Saccharomyces cerevisiae S288C: one gene and its partner. The protein of the gene in region 2 purifies or fractionates together with the protein of the main gene of each other region. This does not show direct contact. Each region holds a gene or a part of one and is shown on either strand. Other genes may lie near its edges.

Region 1 (5,387 bases), on a different chromosome or scaffold from region 2:
CTTCCATGAGTGAGTTACAGAGGCGAAATCACAAATTTACGGTCGAGAATGTTACTCAATGGCAAGATCAACTGGTAAAACAGTTGGATACACACCTCCCTCAAGAAATACCCGTTGTAATTAATAATTCTTCGTCGCTTTTAATAATCCCTGAATTGCACAATTATTTGAGTGCTTTGATTTCAGACGTTATTGAGTCTCCAGGCATTGGTACTGCTGGAAGCGCTGAAAGTCGTTGGGAGTATGATTTGAATCGCTATGTAAAGGAAATTCTTTCGAATGAGTTGCAATATATCGATAAGGATTATTTCATCCAAGAAATGAACAGAAGGTTGCAATCTAACAAACAGGAGATTTGGGAAGAGATCACAAATAGGTTAGAGACACAGCAGCAGCAGCAGCAGCAGCAGGTTCAACAGGATTATTCTAACGTGCCACAGCAGTATTCGAGCATATTAATGAAAAGATTAATTCACCAAATTTACAATTCCAATCAACACCAATGGGAGGACGATTTAGATTTTGCTACTTATGTTCAAGGTACTAAACTATTGAACCATTTAACTTCACCAACCTGGAGACAGGGCAGTGGGGTACAGCCGATAGAATTACTGACCGACTCCAAACAAAGCTCCTCAACTTACTGGCAATGTGAGAACGAACCTGGGTGTTCATGGGCCATAAGGTTTAAAACTCCTTTGTATCTAACCAAAATTTCGTACATGCATGGCCGTTTTACTAATAACCTACATATAATGAACTCAGCACCAAGACTGATCTCATTATATGTAAAACTGTCACAGACTAAAGAGATCAAAGCATTGCAGACATTGGCAAATCAATACGGTTTCGGGCAGCATCACAAGAGAGACCGAAATTACATCAAGATCGCAAAATTTGAGTACAGGTTGACAGATTCTAGAATACGCCAACAAATGTATCTGCCCCCATGGTTCATTCAGTTAAAACCACTCGTACGCTCAATTGTCTTTCAAGTGGACGAGAACTACGGGAACAAAAAGTTCATATCTCTGAGGAAATTTATCATCAACGGAGTGACACCGCAGGATTTGCAAATAATTGAAAATAACGAGTTCCCTGTTTTACTGGGTGACACCCCAGAATATGGTGTCACTCAGAACACCGACGAAGGCAAGAGGAAAGTTCTCCTATCAAAGCCTCCTTACGCGTCTTCATCTACTAGTACCAAGTTTCATCCCGCTTCTAACGTCCCATCATTTGGCCAAGATGAGCTAGATCAATAAACGACAATAAAAAATTAAACGTTCTAACCCCCTGGCCCCCAGAAAATCGCGCAGATTGACGGCACTCCCTTTAAATCATAGAGTTAATCAGCTACTCACCACTCTCTTTCGGTACTGGCGTTATTCTGAATTCCAACCTTGAACACAGCCACACGGCATTCAGATGTTGCTCCCATGCGTGGACTCACGCTCTGCGATTAACAGCTCATGGAAATTTCCTCGTGCTATTTAAGACTGCAGTCGTTTGGAAATCGGAATATCTTTTTTCGTGCAGTTTTGCGGGAAATTTTCCCTACTTAAAAAGCTGAATGAAAATCAGAAATATCTGCAAAAAAAAAAGGTAAAAAAGGGAAATTTTAAGACATAGCATAAAGGACTTGGTTTTGTTTCAATACTCAGCCCTTTTCATTCATTTCTATCACAAGTTTTTTTTTGCTCTCGTTTCCATTTTCTTCGTTTACTTATTATTGACGTACATCTTTTTTAGTTTCAAATAACATAGCAAGAAGGCTTAACTAAGTTCCTATATTCTTGGCATATTTATCATCATCAGGTCTTTTAAAAGTATCTCAGAACGTAACTTCAACGCCTTTAGATTTTTTTCACAACACGACTCTATTGCAAGAGACAAAAAAAATTAAAATGGGCATTTTGGACTCGCTGAAAAAACCTGTTAATATCAAGAGTTCGCTCCCCAAATTCTCCCGCAGTGCTACCAGCATCAATTTAAGTAGCCACCCAGTAAGTTCACGGTCCTTCCTCGAATTACCACCAGAGCTTTTCAGCATCACTAAACCTATATTTAAGCTTCTGCAAGCACACGCAAATAAGATTTACTTCCAATCTTCCGACGCTGAGGCTGTATGGAATGTTAAGGATTCTTCTGGACATGTTTTTGAAGCAGAGTCAATTTCTTTGCTCGGCTCTCATATAATTATCACAAATTCCTCTGTACAAGTCGCAGACGTGGCCATCATAGATTCCCCTTCCAACATAAACCAATGTGAAATTTCAAGCGTTGGAGAGTTCCTGCAATTCAATAATGGCCAACTATCTATCACATGTAACGATTTTGGTTTACTGGAGAAGTTCAAAAGGTTGTGTATGATTTCTATTTTTGAGTTCATTTCTATATATAAGGCCTTGACAGGCACAGTGATTTCCTCTTATGGGCTGAGAATGTCTGATATGCATATCATTTTGAACTCGCCGTTCAATTTTAAGGATTGGTGTGAAGTTTATCTTGATGGTCAAGGTTGGGTGAAAGTGTGGTGTCATATTGATAAAGTGTCTAAAACCAATAATTCTAAAAGTAGTAGTGACAATGATGCTAAAGGAAAGTATCAAATACGGTTTTATAGAGATGACAAATCCACATCTAGCAAGAACTGCGTTTTTTTTATTCCTGACAATGAGTACGTTCAAGATATTTTCTTTTATAACATCAATGCGGCAGAACCTTCTAAAAATATGAACGACTTTTTTCAAGGGTTGCAAATGATAAAGCTCGTTGGTAATGTACGCTTTTGCAGTGATACGGACTTTAATGATGTGGTGGATAGTGGATCCATCTATAGTAGTGCAAACAACGGCAGTGGTGACAGCAGCTCGACAGCATTGAATAATGAAAGTCCTAACACTACACCAAAAAGTAGAACTTTCTTTTCACCTAAAGGGCACAGAAGAAATAGCTCCCATGTAAGTTCGTTAACTTCTAGATCAACAAAAAAGCCTATAACTAACTTCACTACACGTACAAATGGGCTTTTGATTAGGCCATTGCCCCATCATGGCGTACATCACCTGGAAGCAATGATCAGGTTCATTATTCCTTTGATGGATTGTGCAAGACTTTATGGGCGTCCAGTTCAATTCAAGACAGAAAGAACCGATATAAATTCGTTAATGTTTGGATTACCTAAATTGCCCTCAGTGGATTATTTTGCTGAAGAGGAGATTGCCCATTTGATGACCCAGGAATTTAATCCTTTGAAAGAAAAAGATACTGACGATACTATGGCTTTAACTATGTCAAGATTTTCTAGCTACCTGCAAGAAAGAATGACAAAAGTCTCCAAGAGAAACACAGAACTCAACTTCAGGACCTTTAGTGATGTAATGGGCATGTATAATACTACGAGGGATCACTCTAAACTTAATTGCATGAGTGACAAGGATAATTCTGTGAAGGAATTTTCATTGAGTGATAAAAGCAATGTTAGTTCTGAAACGACTAATATGATGAATCAATTGCAAGTAAACGCCCATGAATACAAAAGTTCTATGTGCGAACGTCCTATCGTCGCAAGTACTTCGCCCATTGCATAGTTCTTCGCATATATAGCCACATCTCAAAAACTTACATACAGTGTATATATTTGTGGTACAGTTTCTGTATAGCCAAATATACCCTGATATAATCTTATGTGATATTATATACTTCCATCCTAATACTAAACTTTTTCGTTTAACGTGACGCATGGTGCGAAGAAAAAAAAATAGCAAATCGCCACTCAATAAAGTGAGTAGAGAGCATTATATCAAAAAAGCATCGATAATATCGAGTGATCATACGTTGAAAATCATCAAGTACAATAGTGATATAAGCCACAATGCAAGCTCCAGTGGTATTTATGAATGCTTCTCAAGAGAGAACTACCGGTCGTCAGGCCCAAATCTCCAATATCACTGCTGCAAAGGCAGTTGCCGATGTCATTCGAACTTGCTTAGGTCCAAAAGCTATGTTAAAGATGTTATTGGATCCTATGGGCGGTCTTGTGTTGACTAACGATGGCCACGCTATTTTAAGGGAAATTGATGTTGCACATCCAGCAGCTAAATCAATGTTGGAGTTATCCCGTACTCAAGACGAAGAGGTTGGTGACGGGACTACAACAGTTATTATTCTAGCTGGTGAGATTTTAGCTCAGTGTGCACCTTATTTGATTGAAAAAAATATTCACCCTGTTATTATTATCCAAGCCTTGAAGAAAGCACTGACTGATGCACTAGAAGTTATCAAACAAGTAAGTAAACCTGTCGATGTGGAAAATGATGCCGCTATGAAAAAATTGATTCAAGCCTCTATCGGTACTAAATATGTCATACATTGGTCAGAGAAAATGTGTGAATTAGCTCTAGACGCTGTTAAGACTGTCCGTAAAGACCTGGGACAAACTGTGGAAGGTGAACCTAATTTTGAAATCGATATCAAAAGATATGTCCGTGTGGAGAAGATTCCTGGGGGGGATGTTCTAGATTCTCGCGTCTTAAAGGGTGTCTTATTGAACAAGGATGTTGTTCATCCAAAGATGTCCCGTCACATAGAGAATCCACGTGTTGTTCTTTTGGATTGTCCACTAGAATATAAGAAGGGTGAATCTCAAACCAACATAGAAATTGAAAAGGAGGAAGATTGGAATAGGATTTTACAAATCGAGGAAGAACAAGTTCAGCTAATGTGTGAACAAATTTTAGCCGTTAGGCCAACACTAGTCATCACTGAAAAAGGTGTTTCAGATCTAGCACAGCATTATTTACTAAAGGGTGGATGTAGTGTTTTAAGAAGAGTGAAGAAATCAGACAATAATAGAATTGCTCGTGTAACTGGTGCAACCATTGTCAATCGTGTAGAGGACTTGAAGGAAAGTGATGTCGGTACAAACTGTGGATTATTCAAAGTAGAAATGATTGGGGACGAATATTTCTCATTTTTGGATAACTGCAAGGAACCAAAAGCTTGTACCATAATGTTACGTGGTGGTTCCAAAGATATATTAAACGAAATAGATCGTAACCTACAAGATGCTATGGCTGTTGCTCGTAATGTGATGTTGAGTCCTTCCTTGTCCCCAGGTGGTGGTGCCACCGAGATGGCAGTTTCTGTCAAATTAGCAGAAAAGGCAAAGCAATTAGAAGGGATCCAGCAATGGCCATACCAAGCTGTAGCTGATGCTATGGAGTGTATTCCACGTACTTTGATACAAAATGCAGGTGGTGATCCTATTAGACTCCTATCCCAACTAAGAGCCAAACACGCACAGGGAAATTTTACAACAGGTATTGATGGTGACAAGGGGAAAATTGTAGATATGGTTAGTTACGGTATTTGGGAACCTGAAG
Region 2 (5,999 bases):
ATTTGCCGTCTTCATAGTACTTGCCCAGTCTTACATTACCTTTAATACTTAACCTGATAATTTTGTCATTCTTCTCCTCGTTGGAATCATCTAGGTTTTCCTTAAGGCATAAAAACTTGCATATCGATTGACGCTTATTAATTAAATGGTGGAATCTTCTTATTATCCTTCTTGTCTTCTGTGGCTTGATTACTCTCGTCACGTTACTTCCTACTTGCTTCCTCTTGCCCGTAATACTCTTCGACTTTCTTGAATGCATTCCGCTGTATTAGTGGTATCGCTAAGCTGATACAAGATTGCCATCAAGGTCATGGCTAGCTCATCGATATTATAATTGTTATATTTTTTTTCACCTCACAAACCCGCCTCAAGGTTAGTTAGTCCGTACTTTTCTTTTTCTCTGAAAAACTTTTCCAGCGATGAGCTTATAAGAATTTCCATCTAAAAAAGTTATATTCGCCAACCTGCCCATCATTATCATCATAACCTCAGGTAGAAATTCTTTAGTCAAATACCGGCATAATCAGTTTTTCCATCATGGGTAAGAAAAGGGCTCCTCAAAAAGGAAAAACGGTCACAAAGCCACAGGAGATAATTGTAGATGAATCCAAATTGAACTGGAAACCAGTAGATATTCCGGACACTTTAGATGACTTTGGTGGATTTTATGGCTTGGAAGAAATTGACGGAGTGGACGTTAAAGTCGTGGATGGTAAAGTAACTTTCGTCACCAAAAAAGATTCAAAAGTGTTAAAAGATAGCAATAAGGAAAAAGTCGGAGATGATCAGGAATCTGTGGAAAATGAATCAGGGTCAGATTCGGAGTCCGAGCTCCTTGAATTCAAGAACTTGGACGATATTAAAGAAGGAGAGTTGAGTGCAGCATCTTATTCATCATCCGACGAGGATGAGCAAGGTAATATTGAGAGTTCAAAGTTAACCGATCCCAGTGAGGATGTGGATGAGGATGTGGATGAGGATGTTTTGAAAGAAAACGTCTTTAACAAAGACATTAATATCGATGATATTTCTCCTGTAAATTTACCTGAATGGACGAATCTTGCACCTCTCTCAATGACTATTTTGCAGAGCTTGCAGAATTTAAATTTTCTCAGACCTACAGAAATTCAAAAAAAGTCTATTCCAGTTATTATGCAAGGCGTAGACGTCATGGGGAAAGCCTCTACAGGTTCAGGTAAAACTTTAGCCTATGGTATTCCAATTGTAGAGAAACTGATCAGTAACTTCTCTCAGAAAAACAAGAAACCAATATCGTTAATCTTTACTCCTACAAGAGAACTGGCGCATCAAGTCACAGACCACTTAAAAAAGATCTGTGAGCCTGTTCTAGCGAAATCTCAGTACTCGATATTATCTTTGACAGGTGGACTCTCTATCCAAAAACAACAACGTCTATTAAAGTACGATAATAGTGGCCAAATTGTCATCGCAACACCAGGTAGATTTTTGGAACTGTTGGAAAAAGACAACACTTTAATCAAAAGATTCTCGAAAGTAAATACGCTAATCCTTGATGAGGCTGATAGGCTGTTACAAGACGGTCATTTCGACGAGTTCGAAAAAATCATTAAACATTTATTAGTAGAAAGAAGGAAAAACAGAGAAAACTCCGAGGGCAGTAGCAAAATTTGGCAAACTTTGATCTTTTCTGCAACATTCTCCATCGACTTGTTTGATAAGCTATCTTCTTCCCGTCAAGTTAAGGATAGAAGGTTTAAAAACAACGAAGATGAGCTAAATGCCGTAATACAACACTTAATGAGCAAAATTCACTTCAACTCAAAGCCGGTTATAATAGATACAAATCCTGAGTCAAAAGTGAGCTCTCAAATCAAAGAATCCTTAATTGAATGTCCTCCATTAGAACGTGACCTATACTGCTATTACTTTTTAACCATGTTCCCAGGTACAACTTTGATCTTTTGTAATGCCATTGACTCCGTGAAGAAATTGACCGTATACTTAAATAACCTAGGCATCCCAGCTTTTCAAATTCATTCTTCCATGACACAAAAGAACCGTTTGAAAAGCTTAGAAAGGTTCAAGCAACAAAGCGCTAAACAGAAAACAATAAATCATTCGAATCCGGATTCCGTTCAACTCTCAACAGTATTGATTGCAAGTGATGTTGCTGCTAGAGGTTTAGATATTCCGGGTGTTCAACACGTTATTCATTACCACTTACCAAGATCTACTGATATTTATATTCATAGATCAGGCAGAACTGCAAGAGCAGGTTCTGAAGGTGTCTCTGCCATGATATGCTCACCTCAAGAATCTATGGGCCCATTAAGAAAGTTAAGAAAAACTCTCGCTACAAAAAATAGTGTTTCGACGGATTTGAACTCTAGATCAACTAACAGAAAACCCATCAAGTGGCAAAACACTGTGCCTTTGTTACCAATTGAAACCGATATACTTTCACAACTCAGAGAAAGAAGTAGATTAGCAGGCGAACTGGCTGATCATGAAATTGCTTCTAATTCCCTAAGAAAAGATGACAATTGGTTAAAAAAGGCTGCTGATGAATTAGGTATTGACGTTGATTCCGACGAAGACGATATATCAAAGAGTAATTCGGACACTTTCTTACTAAAAAATAAAAATAAAAAAATGCAGAAGACTATAAATAAGGACAAGGTAAAAGCCATGAGAGCTACGTTGAACGAATTGTTATCAGTGCCTATACGTAAAGATAGAAGACAGAAATATTTGACAGGTGGGCTAGTGAATTTAGCTGATAACTTGGTCAAAAAAAGAGGTCATAATTCTATCATTGGTCATGAAAAGACAAACGCCTTAGAAACTTTGAAGAAAAAGAAAAAGAGAAATAATTAATCTCGAGGCTTTTGAAGAGAAACTCTCCTTTCACTGTATTTTCTACGTAATATACACGGTCCTCTAAACCCACTATGTACTTTCAACAAAGGAATTAGCTCAATATAGAGCAAAAGGTTTACCAAGTATATATTATATTGTACAAAAAATTAAAAGCGAATTTAATTTAAATCTGGCATCTAGTGATTAAATTCTTTTTGATTCGATTTTTTTCTCCCCCTTTTATTTATTTAAATGAAATCATAGTCGGATCCTTCATCTTCGTCATAATATTCATCCTCAGATTCATCAACTAGTTGTTCAAAATTAACTTTGTAACGCAGCATGGCACCAATACCACCAAAACCTGTGACAAATTGGGCACCTTCTGAAGATTTGTCTGTGATGAATTCCAAGGTAGCACCGAAGTTTTTGTAGTTAGCTGCTAGCCATTCAATTAAAGGTTCTTCGGAGACAACGTCCATTTCTTGGCCGGTAGCTTTGTCAATAGCAAACGACTTGTCCTTGGCTTCTGGTTCAGCGAATTTTATAACCTCATTATCCTCGGCATCTTTAAATGTATATCTGATAGTTTCCAAATTTTCGAAAACAATTAATTTTTCGACTGCACCTAAATCCAATGCCTTTAAAGTATCATCTATACCATAACAGAATTTACCAGTGTCCTGGGAAATTTCGTCAAAATATGCCTCCAATAATTTCTTTTCTTGAACATACTTGACATTGGCCAACGCTTCGGCAGAAAGTTCGATAGCCTGGTTGAAACCGTTTTCACCACCATAAGAAACATCCACGATGGAAATAACCTTACATGCTAGTCTTGGATCGAATAATTCAGATTTAGCCAAATCGGTCTTAAAGTCAGCAGAACCAGCTAAAATTAAACCCTTAACATTGACTTTGTCATTAGTAATAAAATTTTGAACAGCAACTTCGGCGACCTTTCTCACATAATTATGTCTTTTTTCTTCTCTTAAACGAGCAAAACGAAGCGCAGATTGACCACCTCTACCATGCTTTTTTGGCAGATCGACAGTAAATTTATGTAAAACAGTTCTCGTATTACCGGACACAGAACCAAACAAAGTACCTTGACCGTCCATGACTATAAAACCGAACTTGTCGTCAGCTTGAAGCAATTCCGAAAGAACTTCTGTATGAAATTTGTTATCACACAAATATAAGGATGTGTTGATAGGTTTGTAAGGTTCGATGTCAAAAGTGACCTTTTTTTCTTTACCATCTTCAGTGATGATATCACCACAATATAAAACTAAACCGTTCTTGGGCAAAGTATTATATAGCTTCAACTTTTGTTGGGTGGAAGTGATAGCAGATAAAACGGAAAGACGATTAACCCTAGATTTAATATTCGAGGCAGTACCATATTCATCTGTTAACATTTTTTGGTACAGTGGAATTTGACCCTTAGGAGGAATAACTAAGGAAATCATAGAAGTACCATTACCTCTAGCTTTTTCTAAAGATTGGACCAACTTCTTGACCTTCCAGATCTCAATATTTTTTTCAACCTCGTTATCCATTATTGAAGTATTTCCTTTGTCTATTTCTGTAGTCTTAATAAGGAGACAAGCCGAAATGAATTAAGAAATAAAGGTGTCGTTAAGGCCACACCAACAGTATATCAGTTAAAAATACAGTGATGTATTTCATTGATTTGACGCTTAGCACTGGATTTCTGAAAAAATTTTTCATTCAGGGTCAACGGAATAATCCGGGTAATAAAGACGGCGCTATCAAACGGTATTACTGAAAAATGTACAAATGATGAGAGAGCAAGTGACTTAAGTATTCTTCGTACATGCGGTAGCGACAGATTGTAGTTTATGATCTGGTTATAATACCATGTATAAATTGGAAGGATCTAAGCTAAAGTAAATTATGAATTGAATACTGCCCTTCAAAAATTAGATTTTGACAGGATGCTTTTTAACAAGTCTGTTATCCTCTTCATGGAATCACAAATTTAACCAGATATTTGCAGCAGCTATTGGGGGAAATGATGTAGCTAAGGTCTACCTCATACTGCTCATATCCAGCTTTTTACTTACTTTTCGTTTCAAGGCTCCCATACTATCTATAATGAGTAGAAATATCAGATGACTATGTCATTTTGAAGTTGGTTAGAATTTGCTTTTTGGTTTCGACAGCATGTGCACATTCATCATTGACCTTCGCTAAAGGTAGCGCCACCAAAAAGGAGCAATGAATTGAAATAAAGTTCTCAGTCCTCTACTTGTCCAGTTCTTGGCACATTGTAGAGTCTTACGTCAAATGTTCTGTTGGCTCACATACGTGCTCTTCGTATTTTCCATGAATAACTTCAGCTATTTATGTAAATGACGCTCATACTCTTTATAAATCTGAAAATAAATAGCACGCATATACAAAGTGGATCAAGAGGCGTTATATCCAAACATTTCAGACAGAAGATTATATAATGTAACAGAAAAAGTTTTAAAAATTTTGGAATAAAGGAAAAGGTGGTTGGGGAAGAGAATAGAGCTACAGCAAGTAAAAAGGTGCTTTCCTCGAAGTTGCGTCGAAGATGAATGAAAGTAGTTGCTAATTCTTACTAGCACATGAAAAAAAAGGATATATATAATTTTACAAGTAGTGTCTTCATGACGGATTCATAGTCTATCCAAGCGTTTGCCCAAAATTTTGCAGTAAATTTAATGTTTTCTGTATAGGATAATGGTGCGCCATTCAAGTCCCGCGAAAAATGACTGATGTCTACAGGACAGGGGCGCAATATATGTTCTCTGACATTGCACCTTTTGAATATATCATGTGTTTGTTCTGCTATCTGCTTGTAGAAGGGTACGCTAACAGAGCCGGCGGCATTGTAAAAAGTTCTCCTTTCGCGGAAGGATGAGTCAAAAAGCATGTGACAATGAAATAATCAAATTGTGACATCTGCTGACGCGGGATCGTTCCTTCGTATTGTCTAGATTGTAATCTATATAACATACTACGAATATAAAAGAGGGACTACAAGATATTTCTAGCGCAAACTACTGCTTTACTGTCTCACAATGTCTCTGATTGGAAGATACCTAAGAAAATTATTTAACTACATATCTACAAAATCAAAGCATCATGCCTTCGCAAGTCAT

Evidence for each region.
Region 1: the proteins of SUP45 (region 2) and TPH3 purify together in Saccharomyces cerevisiae (affinity purification with mass spectrometry, with the first as the bait; one large-scale study listed by BioGRID). This does not show direct contact.

The regions. Positions count from the first base shown.
Region 1 is NC_001142.9:403,681-409,067, forward strand, and holds TPH3 (Tph3p), read left to right. Parts: upstream 1-1,907; coding exon 1,908-3,593; downstream 3,594-5,387. Other genes in the region: MPS3 (Mps3p), read left to right, coding at 1-1,265; chaperonin-containing T-complex subunit CCT3, read left to right, coding at 3,878-5,387.
Region 2 is NC_001134.8:527,780-533,778, forward strand, and holds SUP45 (translation termination factor eRF1), read right to left. Parts: upstream 4,404-5,999; coding exon 3,090-4,403; downstream 1-3,089. Other genes in the region: BMT2 (25S rRNA (adenine2142-N1)-methyltransferase), read right to left, coding at 1-259; MAK5 (ATP-dependent RNA helicase), read left to right, coding at 538-2,859; YBR144C (uncharacterized protein), read right to left, coding at 5,456-5,770; alcohol dehydrogenase ADH5, read left to right, coding at 5,983-5,999. UniProt on the Saccharomyces cerevisiae protein: Component of the eRF1-eRF3-GTP ternary complex, a ternary complex that mediates translation termination in response to the termination codons. The eRF1-eRF3-GTP complex binds to a stop codon in the ribosomal A-site.